Linked DNA regions of Caenorhabditis elegans. The protein of the gene in region 1 interacts with the protein of each later gene in a pairwise test. Each region holds a gene or a part of one and is shown in the gene's direction. Other genes may lie near its edges.

Region 1 (4,289 bases):
TCGACGATAAAGCTGCGAATCCACTTTGAAGACAACCGAGTGAGCGGTGGTGGCAATTGGACGAGGTGAGAATGTTCCAGACACGCTTAGTCCAATTCTACAGAAATTCAAAGGTTTTTAGTCTCAAACTAGGCCTGTAAAGTTTTTCTGAGGGAGCAGAAAGCCCATGCGCCTTTAGGCGATTACTGTGTCTTTTGCAATCAATTTCACAATCAGATTTTCTAATTAAATTTCGATTCTCTTTCGAAAAATAACAGGAAACCCGGAAAAATTGCGAAATAATCTGAAAAAGACCGTACTTTCTTAAAGGCGCACTCCTCATTTCACTCAAAGGTCCTGGCACGATTGTTACTTTTTAAAGCGAGCCGTGCGCTTTTAAAGGGGTACGGTGGAAATTTTTGCCGATTTCGCAATTTTTCCTGATTTTTCTTCCGCGGAATTCCAATATTTTGAGAATATTCGTTGGAAAAACGGCGAAAATCAAGAAAAACTCGAATTTTTGACCTCCAGAAACTCACATCGGAATCAACTTTTCTGTAGACGGAGAGAGTGTTGGCGTTGACATGTCATAACAATAAGGAATGTAGTTTTATTCGATAAAAAAAAGGTCTCACGCTTTGGAAAATTCGAGAACAAAGAAAAGTTCATAAAAATATAAAATACACGTGAAATTAAAAAAAATTAATTGCTCTATCACCAATCGTTATTCATATCACCGAAATCTTCCATAAGAGCATCTTCGTCAGCAGCTTCCTTGGCTTCCTGTTCCTCTCGCAGCCGCTCTTCCTCCATCATTCGATACTCTTCCTCGACATTTTCATCAATTTCAGCGGTTTTTTGGTCGGATTTTTCAGAATTTTTAGCTTTTTCAGTCGTGACTTCTGAAATTGAAAGATTTTTTGATTTTCTAATAACAAGTTTGGATAAATTTTGCAACCTTTCTCTGGTAAATCCTTGAATAAATCATCGTCATTATCACTCGCTCCATCATCAATAATTCCATTCTTTTGATTCTCCTGCTCCTCGTGCTCAGAATCCTCGCCAGTCTCTCCAAGCCGGTGCTTGATCATGAAAACTTTAACCTGCCGCCGTGTTCCCAGTGTCTCGACTCGATTCAGAACATCTTCGGTTTTCATCTTCGGAAACATCAAATGTCCCCAGTATGCGTATTTTTTCATCAATTTCTCCAGATTTGCGTACTGAAAAGGGAAAATTATTGTATTTTTTAACTTTCAAATTTACCGGATCATCCTTGGGATTTGGCTTGAAATCTTTTAAAGTCTCCCGAAGAGCTGAAATTCCTTTCGGCCCGGTCAAAATTCGCTCATTCAGTGCTAGGCGTGGATTCTAAAGTTTGAAAAAATTTAAATAAATCATAGAAAATAAGCGTTTTACTGCTAGTCTTTTAGTCCTTAACAATTTCGGCTCCACGACTCGTCTAGTGCCTCCCTCGCCGCTGTTATCTGAACAAAACTTTAATTAAAACCCGATTTCTCACACGAAATTCTAGATACCTTCGATTGCTTCGTCTCCCATAGGGCTTGGCTCTCGATCCAATTCATCATTTTCGAAGAAATCTTCCATTTCGTCCATTTTTCTGGAAAAAAAGTTGATTTTCGATCGAAATTTCTAGGTTTTCGTGCAGAAAACGAAAAAAAATGCAAAAATCTTAGCGTTTAAAAAACTATTTTCAAACAACGCGCCGACAAAATCGGCTGAATCGCGTCGAGACCCGATCGATTAAATGCGTGCGCCTTTAAAGAAAGTCAGCATTCTCTTTGTGTTCTTGGCTAGAAAAAGTGTTCCAGTCCATTTATTATCTGAATTTTCTGATTTAAACGCATTTCTTAAGGTTTTTTATTAATTAAACCACTTTATTGTTAATATATCACTGTTTTGAACAGCTTATTTCGTAAAAAATCCCAAAATTCTTCTGGAAAATGAGAAAAAATCTAGTTTTTCGCCAAATTGTCGCATTTCTTTCCAGAATAACAATGTCGATCGCCCAACAACTCATGGATATGGGCTTCCCAGCCGACAAAGCCGAGGCCGCCGCCGGAAACAACAGAAATCTCGATCAGGCGTTGGATTGGATTGAGAAGGACGGAGCCGGTGTACCAATGGAGACAGATGCTCCAGCTCAAGCTGCTCCAGGAGCCGCTGACAGTGGTGCACCCCCGGTAGCCGCCAGTTTTAAGTGTGATGAGTGAGTTTTTCCCCCCTACGATTCTTATTAATTATTTCTCCAAATTTTTTTTTCCAGCTGCGGAAAGCTTCTCGCCAACGATGATGCTATCATGTTCCACGCTTCGAAGACAAAGCACGAGAATTTCAGCGAAAGCTCGGAAGCTATCAAGCCTCTCACTGCAGAGGAAAAGGCCGCAAAAGTCCTGGAAATCCGAGAAAAAATCAAAGTCCATCAGGCCAAAAAGGCAAAGCTCGAGGCCGAAGAGAATCGTGAGAAGGAGAAAAAGCGTCGTGAGGATGGAAAAGCCATGATCAGCCATAAAGAAGCCGCCAGAGATCGTGAAATTCGGTTAGAAAACTGTTTTCCATTGAATTTAAATAATAATATTCCCAATTTGCAGAGAAGCCGCTCAAGATCGTCGCCGCGAAAAGAACGAAGACGAAATCGCCAGAAAACGAGTTCTCGAGCAAATCCGGCTTGACAAGGAAGCCCGTAAGGCAAAAGCTTCAGGCCAACCGGTTCCAGAGGCAAAGCCTGCTCCGTCTGCAGCTCCAGTTGCTCCGCCAAAAGACTACTCAACTACAACTCTTCAATTCCGACTTCTCGATGGACAAACTGTTAGACAACAGTTTGAAGCTAATGAGCCGGTAATTTAAATATTCTCGACTCCCTTGAATTAATTTTTCAGCTCGCAATGGTCCGCGCCTGGGTCGAAACTAATCACGCAAACGGTGTTCCGTTCACCCTGATGACCCCATTCCCCCGCAAAGTGTTCACCGAGGATGATATGGGAACACCGCTCAAAGTTCTCAGTGAGTTTTGCTCAAAAAGGCCGGATTTCATGATGAAACTTGGAAATTTTCGAAAAAAAAAGTGGACGATTTTCAGCTATTTCGCCAACTTTTCCTGTTCACAGCTGCCGGAAATTTATTTTTATTCGATTTTTGTCCTTCTTCAGCAAAAAGACTCAATTTAACTGAAGAATCTGAAAAAGTGCTCAAAAATGGCCTAGAAGTCACGAATTGTCAATTGTAAGGCAATTTTTGAGCACTTTCGAATTTTTCAGTTAAATTAAGTATTATTTTCAGAAAAATCAACTGATTTTCTATATTTTGACACTAATTTTTAAATATTGGAGCAGTATGGTGCAATTTGACTTTAAATGTGCCTAAATCAACGAAAAAAACGCTAAAATATATAGATTTCTGCTGTAATTGGGCCATTTTTTCGAAAAAAATAAATAAAAATTTGAAAAGTTTCGTTATGAATTTTGGTTTTTTGAGACCAAAAAAATGTTCATTCTCTAATTTTTTTTTAAAATTTTCAGATTTGGTACCATCCGCCAACGTCATTCTCAACCGTGCCGCCTGAATCTTCAAAACTAAATTCCCACAATTTACTGCTAATTTTCTCTCCCCCCTCTCCCGAATGCTGGTATCACTTGTAAACTAAACATGTATATTGAGCATGTATAAAAATTTTCCGATAAACTTTTTTCCCCTCCATATATCTCGAGGCTCTTCATCTCCTCGTGATCTTCGAATTCCCGTCAGTTTTGCTCTCCGAGCTCTTGCCACAGATTTCTGACAAGCTGCAGGACAATCATATCTCCAGAGTGATTGGAAGCATTAGAACCTGGAAGATATTGGAATAAAAACCTGCGTACTGCACAACATATTTGACGCGCAAAATATCTCGCAGCGAAAACTGCAGTAATTCTTTAAATGATTACTGTAGGTCGATTTACGGGCTCAGATTTTCTTTTCGATTTAATTTAAGAGGCCCCACCAAAACGGAATGCAACTCAAAACAGGATACAGGGGCGGAGCCTATTTCGCAACCACCGCATGCTTTTTCCGCAAGCCTCGCACGTTTTTTCTCTTTAAAAAATGCAACAACATCAAGGAAAAAACGTGCGAGGCTTGCGGGAAAAGCATGCGCGGTTGTTGCGAAATAGGCTCCGCCCTTGCATCCTGTTTTGGTGAATCCTGTTTTGAGTTGCATTCTGTTTTGGTGGGGCCTCTAATTTAATATTCTATCGAGAAATACACGAGCCCGTAAATCGACACAAGAGCGCTACAGTAGTCATTTAAAGAATTAC
Region 2 (5,115 bases), on another chromosome or scaffold:
AGATGTATGGTGACTGCGAGAGGGAGATACGTGTTGCGTTCAATGATTGTGATGTGTGGTTTCTGAAAATTATATTGATTGAATACAGCACATGTTCGTATGATTGTTTTTATTTTATAACCTGTTGGATGAAAAATATTATTAATAACTCACTTGATCTGGAAATTAACAGAGACTTCTCCTCCAATTACAATTTCCAATTCTTTCTGTCTAACAACTAAATTATTTGTCGCAAATGTGAATGGAACCAAGAAGAGAACGAGCAAAAATGCCACCGGGAAACTCATTATATCATTCTGGAAACAATTATACTTCAAAAAATGGAAGCAAAATATAAAACAGGAGTTGTGAATAGAGAAAACGACGCTTTATATCATCAGTTTTGGCATTGAAATGAATCAATAACATAAATTGAGCGAGAAAAAGAGAAACAGCAAAATAGTGAAAAACGAATGATTGACCGAGAGAACGGGGGAAGGTTGGAATTTTTGTAAACAAACGAGGGAAACATCATGTTGAAAACATATATATACACATTTTTTATTTAATGCGTCGGAATATTCAGAAAATCGTTCAGATCATCGATAATTTTTATTGATAAAAGACCAAAAATCCAGTTTACATGAGGAAAACAATACACTGTGAATTTTAAAGAAAATTAAATATTCCAAAAAAATTTAATTTAATTTGTAATTTGGGAAACTGAAACAATAAAACACTATCGAAAACTTAAAAAAAAACATGGATTGAAGCTCAAAAAAACTGTTTTAATGTTTCGTTTTGTAGAACTTTAGATTTTTGTAAAGCGGGAGACACCACGAATCCGCAAGAAGTTTCTTCCAGAAGCAGATTCGCTGAAAAAAAATGAAGTTGTCTTAAACCTGATGCTTTTTTTTGATAATTTTTATACATTATGTGGTTTCCTGGTTGGCCATTTTGTTAAAATCATTATTTCCTGTAATAAAAGTCAGGCGTTCTCAGTTATTTCCAGATATCGGATTCCTAAAATAGCTGAACTCCAAAAAACGGTCAAGTCTCTGAACACCAAACGCGCTCCTTCGAACAAAAAAAGCAGCGCGTACGTTTAACGAACAGTTTTTTCTTCTAGAAATTGTTTTCTCATTGCGCAATGCATTGCTCATTATAAATAATTATGTTTTAAACAGTTGCTGGGAGGTTTTCGCTATCTCAGTCGTTGTTAAACAATTACCAGAGTGTGTTATCGTATTTATCTTTGCCGTATAATATCTTTTCCATATTTATGCGATTGCGGAAATTTACCACTGACTCTGCGGAAACTGCGGAAATTTACCACTGAAATATCACTCATATCGTACGTTTCTTTGAATTCGTCTCCTTGTTATTCAAATTATGTCTTCGTTTTTGAACGAGATATTTACCTCTAGCTTTCTAGATCGTCACATCACTTAGGTTCGCCTTGAACTTCTGTTCCGCTAAAGACGGCTGGTTCACATATATTTTTAACAATGTAATTATTACTTATGACCCGAATAAAACGGTAGAACGCTTTGTGAAATTATTCGAAAGCAAATGCGCCCCAAGGAGAGAGTGTGAATGAGAGGCTGCGTTTTGTCATCATGTAGAGGCAGCATTGGGGTGTTCTGTAGAGAACTTAGTCTACGTGTCTCATCTTCCATATTTCTTAATTTTGTTCTATTGGCTCTTTTTGCATCTCTTCTTTGATTCGATTCTTTAACTGAATTAGATCAGAAATTATACTTGAAGTTTTATCTTGAAAACCTACTGTAGAAAAGTTTGTCCGTGTTCTACTTTCTTATTAGACTTTCGCGTTTCGGCCTTTCCTATGTTCTACCCCCATCTTCCGTTCTTTTTTATTATTCCAAGATTTTACAGAGAAGTCGTTTAACCATGGCCTCAGTTCCGACTCAGAGAGACGAGAAGGAAAAGAAGAATGATGAGCTGGCTACGGCTATCTTGAAAGTAGGTTTTTCTCCAAGGTAATCATTTCAATATAATTAACTCTTTCAGGACAAAAAACGCCCAAACAGACTCATTATCGATCAGTCTGACAATGACGACAACTCCATGGTCATGCTCTCACAGGCCAAAATGGACGAGCTGGGACTCTTCCGTGGAGATTCGGTGATTTTGAAAGGAAAGAAACGAAGAGAGACTGTCTCTATCGTTCTTAATGCGGACAATTGCCCGAATGACAAGATCAAGATGAACAAAGTGGTTCGAAACAACCTCAGAAGCCGTCTTGGAGACGTTGTCAGTATCTCAAGTGCTCAACTCGAATATGGAAAAAGGGTTCATGTTCTTCCAATTGATGACACAATCGAGGGATTGACTGGGTATGTTCTTGCCACGGAGAAATAAAGACTGTATTTTTTATTTTAGAAATCTATTTGATGTCTTCCTTCGGCCATACTTTACCGACGCCTACCGCCCAGTGCACAAGGGAGACATATTCACTGTTCAAGCTGCAATGAGAACTGTCGAGTTCAAAGTTGTCGAGACGGATCCTGCTCCGGCGTGTATTGTTGCTCCAGATACTGTTATTCACTATGAAGGAGATCCAATTAAAAGAGAGGAAGAAGAGGAGGCTCTCAATGAAGTTGGATACGATGATCTCGGAGGTGTTCGTAAACAACTCGCTCAGATCAAGGAAATGGTTGAGCTCCCACTTCGCCATCCCCAACTTTTCAAGGCTATCGGAGTGAAACCACCACGTGGAATTCTTCTGTTCGGTCCACCAGGAACCGGTAAGACACTGATCGCAAGAGCTGTCGCCAACGAAACAGGAGCATTCTTCTTCCTCATTAACGGACCGGAAATTATGTCTAAAATGTCTGGAGAGTCGGAATCGAATCTTCGTAAAGCATTTGCCGAGTGTGAGAAGAACTCACCTGCTATTTTGTTCATTGACGAGATCGATGCGATTGCTCCAAAGAGAGAAAAGGCTCACGGTGAAGTCGAGAAGCGTATCGTCTCGCAACTTCTCACACTTATGGATGGACTTAAAACTCGCGCTCATGTTGTCGTGATCGCCGCTACTAATCGTCCTAACTCTATTGATGGAGCCCTTCGTCGTTTCGGTCGCTTTGATCGTGAAATTGACATTGGAATCCCTGATGCTGTTGGCCGTCTGGAAATTCTCAGAATTCATACCAAGAACATGAAATTAGGAGAAGACGTTGATTTGGAACAAGTTGCAAACGAATGCCACGGATTTGTCGGAGCTGATTTGGCTTCCCTCTGCTCTGAGGCTGCTATTCAGCAAATTCGCGAAAAGATGGAGCTGATTGATTTGGAGGATGATACAATTGATGCTGAAGTTCTCAATTCTTTGGCGGTCACTATGGAGAACTTTAGAGTAAGTTATCATTTTTTTGCACTTAAGAGACGTATCATTAATCATTTTTCAGTTCGCAATGGGAAAATCATCCCCATCTGCTCTTCGCGAAGCCGTTGTGGAAACTCCAAATACTACTTGGTCCGACATCGGAGGTCTTCAAAACGTCAAGCGCGAACTTCAGGAGCTCGTTCAATACCCTGTAGAGCATCCAGAAAAGTATCTCAAGTTCGGAATGCAACCATCTCGTGGAGTTTTGTTCTACGGTCCACCAGGATGCGGTAAAACACTTCTCGCTAAAGCGATTGCCAATGAATGCCAGGCTAACTTCATTTCCATCAAGGGACCCGAGCTTCTTACTATGTGGTTCGGAGAATCCGAAGCTAATGTTCGCGACGTGTTTGATAAAGCTCGTGCTGCCGCTCCATGCGTTCTCTTCTTTGACGAACTCGATTCGATCGCAAAGGCCAGAGGAGGAAGTGTAGGAGATGCTGGAGGTGCTGCCGATCGTGTTATCAACCAGGTTCTCACTGAAATGGATGGTATGAATGCCAAGAAAAACGTGTTCATTATTGGAGCTACCAATCGTCCTGATATCATTGATCCAGCTGTTCTTCGTCCAGGACGTCTCGATCAGTTGATCTACATTCCTCTTCCTGACGAAGCATCTAGACTTCAAATTTTCAAGGCCTCACTCCGCAAAACGCCCCTTTCCGCCGATCTCGATTTGAACTTCCTTGCCAAGAACACCGTCGGTTTTTCGGGAGCCGACTTAACCGAAATTTGCCAAAGGTTTGTTATAAAAATTAGTTAAAAAAATATTCGCATTTGTCAATTAATACCATTTTCAGAGCATGCAAGCTTGCCATTCGTGAATCAATTGAACGGGAAATTCGTCAGGAAAAGGAGCGTCAGGACAGAAGTGCTCGTGGAGAAGAACTTATGGAGGATGAACTGGCTGACCCAGTTCCAGAAATAACTAGAGCACACTTCGAGGAGGCAATGAAGTTCGCTAGACGTTCCGTGACTGATAACGATATCAGAAAATACGAGATGTTCGCCCAGACTCTTCAACAATCTCGTGGATTTGGAAACAACTTCAAGTTCCCAGGAGAAGCTCCTTCTGCTGGACAACCTGTTGGAGGAAACGGTGGCTCCGGTGGAAATGACGATGATGACCTGTACAACTAGATTTCGCTAAAATTGTTTTATTCTATTTATTGTAAATGCATCCTTGCGAGGGTATCAAATGTTCTCATGAATGTTAAATTTATTTCCAACTTTTACAAGTAAAAAAATCGTAACCGTAAAAAGTATTTGTTAAAATCTTATGCTTTAACAGAGATAGCAGGAGGGACCGGGGAGGATTCGGGTGAAATGAGATCAGTGATGGCTTTATGGATAACCTTGAACCACTGTTCACGGCATTCGTCCCAGATCAGTTCAAGCTCTGTTTCATCAGAATTGTTTGCTAAAATAGTGATTTCTCCATCAAACATTTCAATGCCGTCGTCTTTTAGTTGCAAGTGTGGATCATAGAGTAGAAGCTCGTTTGATAATTCCTTCCAATTCACTTTTTTGCCTTTGATGATTTCTGACAATGAGAGAGTGATCGGCATGCAGTTTTTATCTTTTATCAAATCTTCTGATTCTGCTGTAGACATGATATTCAGTCGTTCATTCTAAAATTATTTGAAGTTATTGCAAAATAAAGTTCAATAATCTTACTTCTTGATCGTAAACGAGCTCGGCGACAAATGGGCATTCCGATTTGGCAG
Region 3 (5,779 bases), on another chromosome or scaffold:
CCTCCACATCCACAGCATCCGCATCCGCAACCACATCCACAACAGCATGGTCTACAGCAGGTACAACATCTAGTACAGCAACAAGTTCTACAACAAGTACAACAACATTTGGGTCTACAACAGCAGCAGCATCTTGGTCTGCAGCAGCAACATCCACATCCACCACCACCTCCTCCACATCCACAACATCCACAACATCCTCCATTTCTTTTAACACGAGAAGATCCGATAATTGATGTTTCAGATGAAATTATAGATATTTCTGTTGTTGATACTGGCAAAACTCCTGATTCAACCTATAATAGTATTGTGTTTTCTAACATTTAGAACCTTTACCGATACCTGTGAAATAGCAATAAGGGCAAAGAGAGTCAGAAGTACGATCTTATTCATTTCAGATTATTAGCGTTCGATATGGTTTTCGAATTTCCATCCATTAAATACCCTCTTCTTCTTACGTGTTTGTCGTCTCTCATTTGACACTTTTGCCGGAAACCATTTTTTGTGATCTCTCCGCGCGAGCCGCGTCATGGAAATTGAACACAAAAACTAAGACACTTTGGATCATGGAAAAGTTATATAAAAGCACCATAAAATTGAGATATTCATCAGTTTCTATTCGATCAAAATGACCAAATTCATAATTGGATCTACATTAGTTGTACTGATTTATACAATTGTATCGATTTCACAGGTTAGATTAATAGATTTAGTTCTCGTATTTAAGAAACTTATAGGTTGAATCAGGAGTTTTGCCAGTATCAACAACAGAAATATCTATAATTTCATCTGAAACATCAATTATCGGATCTTCTCGTGTTAAAAGAAATGGAGGATGTTGTGGATGTTGTGGATGTGGAGGAGGTGGTGGTGGATGTGGATGTTGCTGTTGCAGACCAAGATGCTGCTGCTGTTGTAGACCCAAATGTTGTTGTACTTGTTGTAGAACTTGTTGCTGTACTAGATGTTGTACCTGCTGTAGACCATGCTGTTGTGGATGTGGTTGCGGATGCGGATGCTGTGGATGTGGAGGTGGAGGTCGTAAACGTCGTTCCCTTCAAAAACTTCAAATTGATGAAGCTAATCGTGCTCTTGGAATCAAAAGAAGACCATCCAATGGCAAATGTTAATCCATTAATCTATTTGTTTAATTTATTCTAATTCTCGATCGGGAATAAATAATTTGGAAATTATTCAACTTATTAAATTCATAGATCTGGGAAACTATCAAGAATCAAAATCTTAAGACTATTCTCCTCTCGTCTCGTTTCACATCTCTTCGTTCTCCGTCTATCGATCGGGTGATGCTGCAAATCATTTTTATCGATCTACAAAGTGCTGCATTTACTAACGGCATATCGTTTCGAGACCCAAACGCTGATGTGCGTTATTGCAAATAACAGTTATTTTTCCAAACCAGCATTACATTACAGTCCACTTTTTTTCCTTTTCATATTTTCATCCTGGACCCAGCTACATACATTACCGCAAACGTGCAAACGGTAGATTTTATTTACTAGTTCCTTTTTTCCGAAAAATTTCAAAAAATTGTAAACTGCGTTTCCGTTTTCAAAGAACTTTTTTGAAGTTTCAACGCTTTTCATCGCAAATATTTACAAATACGTCTCGTTATTTAGAAATTTTAAAATTTTTTGAACAGTGAAAATCCTTTTCAAACTTCGCGCTAAAATTATAAAGCAACCGCGCCCTAACGTCAGAATCACCAAACACTTTTTGCGTACACTTGTTGAAAACACGCTTCTATATGCGTGGATGATGACAATTTTCAAATCTGTGTCGTTTTTAGAAATAATTTCGTGAACTTTTTTAAAATCTCAATTTTCTTTTATAGTTTCGTTCCCACTATCATTTTGGACACTCATTCTTCTTATTTTAGGTCTTAAATTGTACATAATGGCCTCGGTTCCAACGCATCAAAGCGAAAAAGAGAAGAAAAATGATGAGCTGTCGACAGCTATTCTCAAGGACAAGGTAAAGCCGAATCGCTTGATCGTCGATCAGTCCGAGCAGGATGATAATTCCGTCATCGCAGTTTCCCAAGCTAAAATGGACGAACTGGGACTTTTCCGTGGAGATGCTGTCATCCTGAAGGTATGTGTTTCTTTTTAATTTTTGATTAAAACGCACAATTTAAGAACTTGTAATGTCTGTGATTTACAATATAGGCTGAAAAACGTTCTGTTTTGAAGCTAGTACTGTTTATTTGCTGATGGTTTTATGAGTGTCATAGTTGTGCGATATAGATCAAGTAACGAATCGTTTCAAAGTATTTCGTAATCCTAACACCACGCAAAGGTGCTGATCTCGATTTTTAAACGGTTGTCACACAATTAAATTTTATTTTTCGATTCTAATGATTATTTTTGCAGGGAAAGAAGCGAAAGGAATCTGTCGCCATCATTGTCTCTGATGAGTCCTGTCCAAACGAGAAAGTTCGCATGAACCGTGTTGTCCGCAACAATCTTCGTATTCGCCTCGGAGACGTCGTGAGCATTACGCCAGCTCCAAATCTCAGTTACGGAACCCGCATTCACGTGCTCCCTATTGATGACACTATCGAAGGACTCACTGGAAACTTGTTCGATGTTTTCCTCAAGCCATACTTCCTGGAGGCTTACCGCCCACTTCACAAGGGAGATATATTCACTGTTCAAGCTGCCATGAGAACTGTGGAATTCAAAGTTGTCGAAACTGAGCCAGCTCCAGCCTGCATTGTGTCACCTGATACCATGATTCACTACGAAGGAGATCCGATCAAGAGAGAAGAAGAAGAAGAGAGCATGAATGATATTGGTTATGATGACTTGGGAGGAGTTCGGAAGCAATTGGCTCAGATCAAGGAAATGGTTGAACTGCCACTTCGACATCCCCAACTTTTCAAGGCTATTGGTATCAAGCCACCACGTGGAATTCTTCTCTTCGGTCCACCTGGCACAGGAAAGACTCTTATTGCACGTGCTGTTGCTAATGAAACCGGATCTTTCTTCTTCCTTATCAACGGACCTGAAGTAATGTCAAAGATGTCTGGAGAATCCGAGTCAAATCTTCGTAAGGCTTTCGAAGAATGCGAGAAGAATCAACCAGCTATTCTGTTTATTGACGAAATTGACGCCATTGCACCAAAACGCGAGAAGACCAATGGAGAAGTTGAGCGCAGAATTGTTTCTCAATTGCTTACACTTATGGATGGAGTCAAGGTATGCTTTTAAATTTTATATGATTCGATAATAATAATTATTTTAGGGTCGTTCTAACCTTGTGGTCATTGCTGCAACAAATCGTCCAAACTCGATTGACGGTGCTCTTCGTCGCTTCGGAAGATTCGATCGTGAAATCGATATCGGAATTCCAGATGCAGTCGGCCGGCTTGAGATTCTGCGCATTCACACGAAAAACATGAAGCTCGCGGATGATGTTGATCTTGAACAAATTGCAAATGAATGTCACGGATTCGTTGGTGCCGATTTGGCATCGTTGTGCTCGGAAGCCGCTCTTCAACAGATTCGTGAAAAGATGGAGCTCATTGATCTCGAAGATGACCAAATTGATGCAGAGGTTCTTAATTCACTCGCTGTCACAATGGAAAACTTCCGTTTTGCTCAAGGAAAGTCTTCCCCATCCGCTCTCCGCGAGGCTGTTGTCGAAACTCCGAATACAACTTGGTCCGACATTGGAGGTCTTCAAAACGTCAAGCGCGAACTTCAAGAATTGGTTCAGTATCCAGTGGAACACCCAGAAAAATATCTCAAGTTTGGAATGCAGCCATCAAGAGGAGTTTTGTTCTATGGGCCACCAGGATGTGGTAAGACACTTCTTGCCAAGGCAATTGCCAACGAGTGTCAAGCCAATTTCATCTCCATCAAGGGTCCAGAATTGCTCACAATGTGGTTCGGAGAATCGGAAGCTAACGTCCGTGATGTCTTCGACAAGGCTCGTGCAGCTGCTCCTTGCGTGTTGTTCTTCGATGAGTTGGATTCGATTGCCAAGGCAAGAGGTGGAGGCGCCGGCGGTGATGGAGGAGGTGCATCGGATCGTGTAATCAATCAAGTGCTCACCGAAATGGATGGAATGAACGCGAAGAAAAATGTGTTCATCATCGGAGCTACAAACAGACCTGATATCATTGATCCAGCTGTTCTTCGTCCAGGTCGCCTTGATCAGCTTATCTACATCCCACTCCCAGACGAAGCTTCTCGGCACCAAATTTTGAAAGCTTCTCTTCGTAAAACCCCACTCTCCAAGGATCTTGACTTGACCTTCTTGGCCAAAAACACTGTTGGATTCTCTGGAGCCGATTTGACCGAAATTTGTCAGAGGTGAGTAATTTAATTATTTGAAAATTTGTTCAAAACGCACAACTTAAGAACTTGCGAAATCTACACATTCTTGGCTCTTCTTAGCTGCGTTTTGCAGTTCAGATTCTGCCAAGTTTTGTGTTCATGGTTACGCGAGTGTCATATTTGTGCTATATAAAAAATCGTCTCACAGTAAATTATAATAGTTAGAGTATCTAAAGTCGCGCTAAGGCCCCGATATTCTATTTTTCCTGGTGTGAACGATGACATTTTCAGAGCGTGTAAGCTGGCTATTCGCGAATCGATCGAAAAGGAAATTCGGATTGAGAAGGAACGTCAAGATCGCCAAGCTCGCGGTGAGGAGCTCATGGAAGACGATGCAGTTGATCCAGTACCAGAAATTACTCGTGCTCACTTCGAGGAAGCCATGAAGTTTGCCAGACGCTCTGTTACAGACAATGACATCAGAAAGTGAGTTTTGATAATGGTTTTATTGTATGTCTATAAAATATGTTTGTAGGTACGAAATGTTTGCACAAACATTGCAACAATCTCGTGGCTTTGGAAACAACTTCAAATTCCCAGGAGAACAACGCGGAAGCGATGCCCCATCTGCCCCTGTACCTGCTCAGGATGATGACGACCTTTATAACTAATGTATTGAGTTTATCTACTGAGTCTATGTATGATACTCGTTTTATTTTCTCCCATACCCACTTTTTCACCTCGTATTTCACCCCTTTCCAACCCCCGATTTACCACTATTTATTGTAATTGAGCCCATGTTTTCGCTTTAGAAATTAATGGTTACGGATGATCTTCGCGAGAAGAAAAAATTTGTAGATACCTACATCCCAGTTGATCAAAAAGTATATCCCATTTATTTTTTTGCATCCCTCCCAATGTTTTGTATGTATTGCCGTTTTTGACATATAAATGTACGATGTCTGTAATCATAATTGTGTACGATTGTGTTGCCATATTCAAACTATTATTTGTGATTGTGTAGGTGGAATTGTCTCATGACCAATGACTGGTTGTTCCGTTGATAATGGGAAGCTGTATTTAAGATAAGTTGCCTAAGTTTAACGTAATTTTTTGGACCAGGTTTTAATATCAATCATCAAACCTATTTAGCGATCCAGTTGTTCTTGATCTTTTGGAAAGTAGAAGTGCTTTTTCATTCATTGATATCATTTTCCATCGATATTGTCTCCACACTCATAGGAGTGCACGCATTTCGTACATAGTCATGAGGTTTTTAACAAAGAAAATGCCGAATTGAGTACTATAGTTGCTTATCTTCAAGCTTGTTGAACTCGTTTCTGGCCAATTTTCAAAAATTCCTTGTCCTCGTTGTCTGTCACATGAATCTTTTAGATCAGATATTAATATTGATAGTAACTGATAAGTGCCAATAGTTTTCAAATTCTTAAAAATATCTGAAAACACAAAATTTGCCG

Evidence for each region. Proteins that work in one complex are often made in the same cells at the same time.
Region 2: the proteins of ubxn-1 (region 1) and cdc-48.2 interact in a two-hybrid assay, tested with the Caenorhabditis elegans proteins (3 studies listed by BioGRID).
Region 3: the proteins of ubxn-1 (region 1) and cdc-48.1 interact in binary tests that used the Caenorhabditis elegans proteins (3 or more experiments, as listed by UniProt).

The regions. Positions count from the first base shown.
Region 1 is NC_003279.8:2,432,017-2,436,305, forward strand, and holds ubxn-1 (UBX domain-containing protein 1), read left to right. Parts: upstream 1-1,985; 5' UTR 1,986-1,994; coding exon 1,995-2,206; intron 2,207-2,263; coding exon 2,264-2,536; intron 2,537-2,588; coding exon 2,589-2,835; intron 2,836-2,876; coding exon 2,877-3,000; intron 3,001-3,515; coding exon 3,516-3,559; 3' UTR 3,560-3,675; downstream 3,676-4,289. Other genes in the region: F23C8.8 (Protein kinase domain-containing protein), read right to left, coding at 1-97, 519-565; tipn-1 (Protein TIPIN homolog), read right to left, coding at 694-881, 938-1,199, 1,243-1,347, 1,396-1,463, 1,515-1,593. UniProt on the Caenorhabditis elegans protein: Ubiquitin-binding protein which acts as an adapter for ATPase cdc-48.1 and/or cdc-48.2, conferring substrate specificity.
Region 2 is NC_003280.10:8,136,621-8,141,735, forward strand, and holds cdc-48.2 (Transitional endoplasmic reticulum ATPase homolog 2), read left to right. Parts: upstream 1-1,875; 5' UTR 1,876-1,890; coding exon 1,891-1,962; intron 1,963-2,010; coding exon 2,011-2,336; intron 2,337-2,382; coding exon 2,383-3,358; intron 3,359-3,410; coding exon 3,411-4,129; intron 4,130-4,188; coding exon 4,189-4,528; 3' UTR 4,529-4,610; downstream 4,611-5,115. Other genes in the region: ctns-1 (Cystinosin homolog), read right to left, coding at 1-62, 154-287; ints-11 (Integrator complex subunit 11), read right to left, coding at 4,666-5,019, 5,066-5,115. UniProt on the Caenorhabditis elegans protein: ATP-dependent chaperone which probably uses the energy provided by ATP hydrolysis to generate mechanical force to unfold substrate proteins, disassemble protein complexes, and disaggregate protein aggregates.
Region 3 is NC_003280.10:10,559,526-10,565,304, reverse strand, and holds cdc-48.1 (Transitional endoplasmic reticulum ATPase homolog 1), read left to right. Parts: upstream 1-1,897; 5' UTR 1,898-1,914; coding exon 1,915-2,112; intron 2,113-2,240; exon of another isoform or gene 2,241-2,353; intron 2,354-2,390; coding exon 2,391-3,218; intron 3,219-3,264; coding exon 3,265-4,337; intron 4,338-4,370; exon of another isoform or gene 4,371-4,588; intron 4,589-4,592; coding exon 4,593-4,787; intron 4,788-4,836; coding exon 4,837-4,972; 3' UTR 4,973-5,274; downstream 5,275-5,779. Other genes in the region: C06A1.7 (uncharacterized protein), read right to left, coding at 1-296, 343-393; C06A1.6 (uncharacterized protein), read left to right, coding at 629-694, 738-1,130. UniProt on the Caenorhabditis elegans protein: ATP-dependent chaperone which probably uses the energy provided by ATP hydrolysis to generate mechanical force to unfold substrate proteins, disassemble protein complexes, and disaggregate protein aggregates.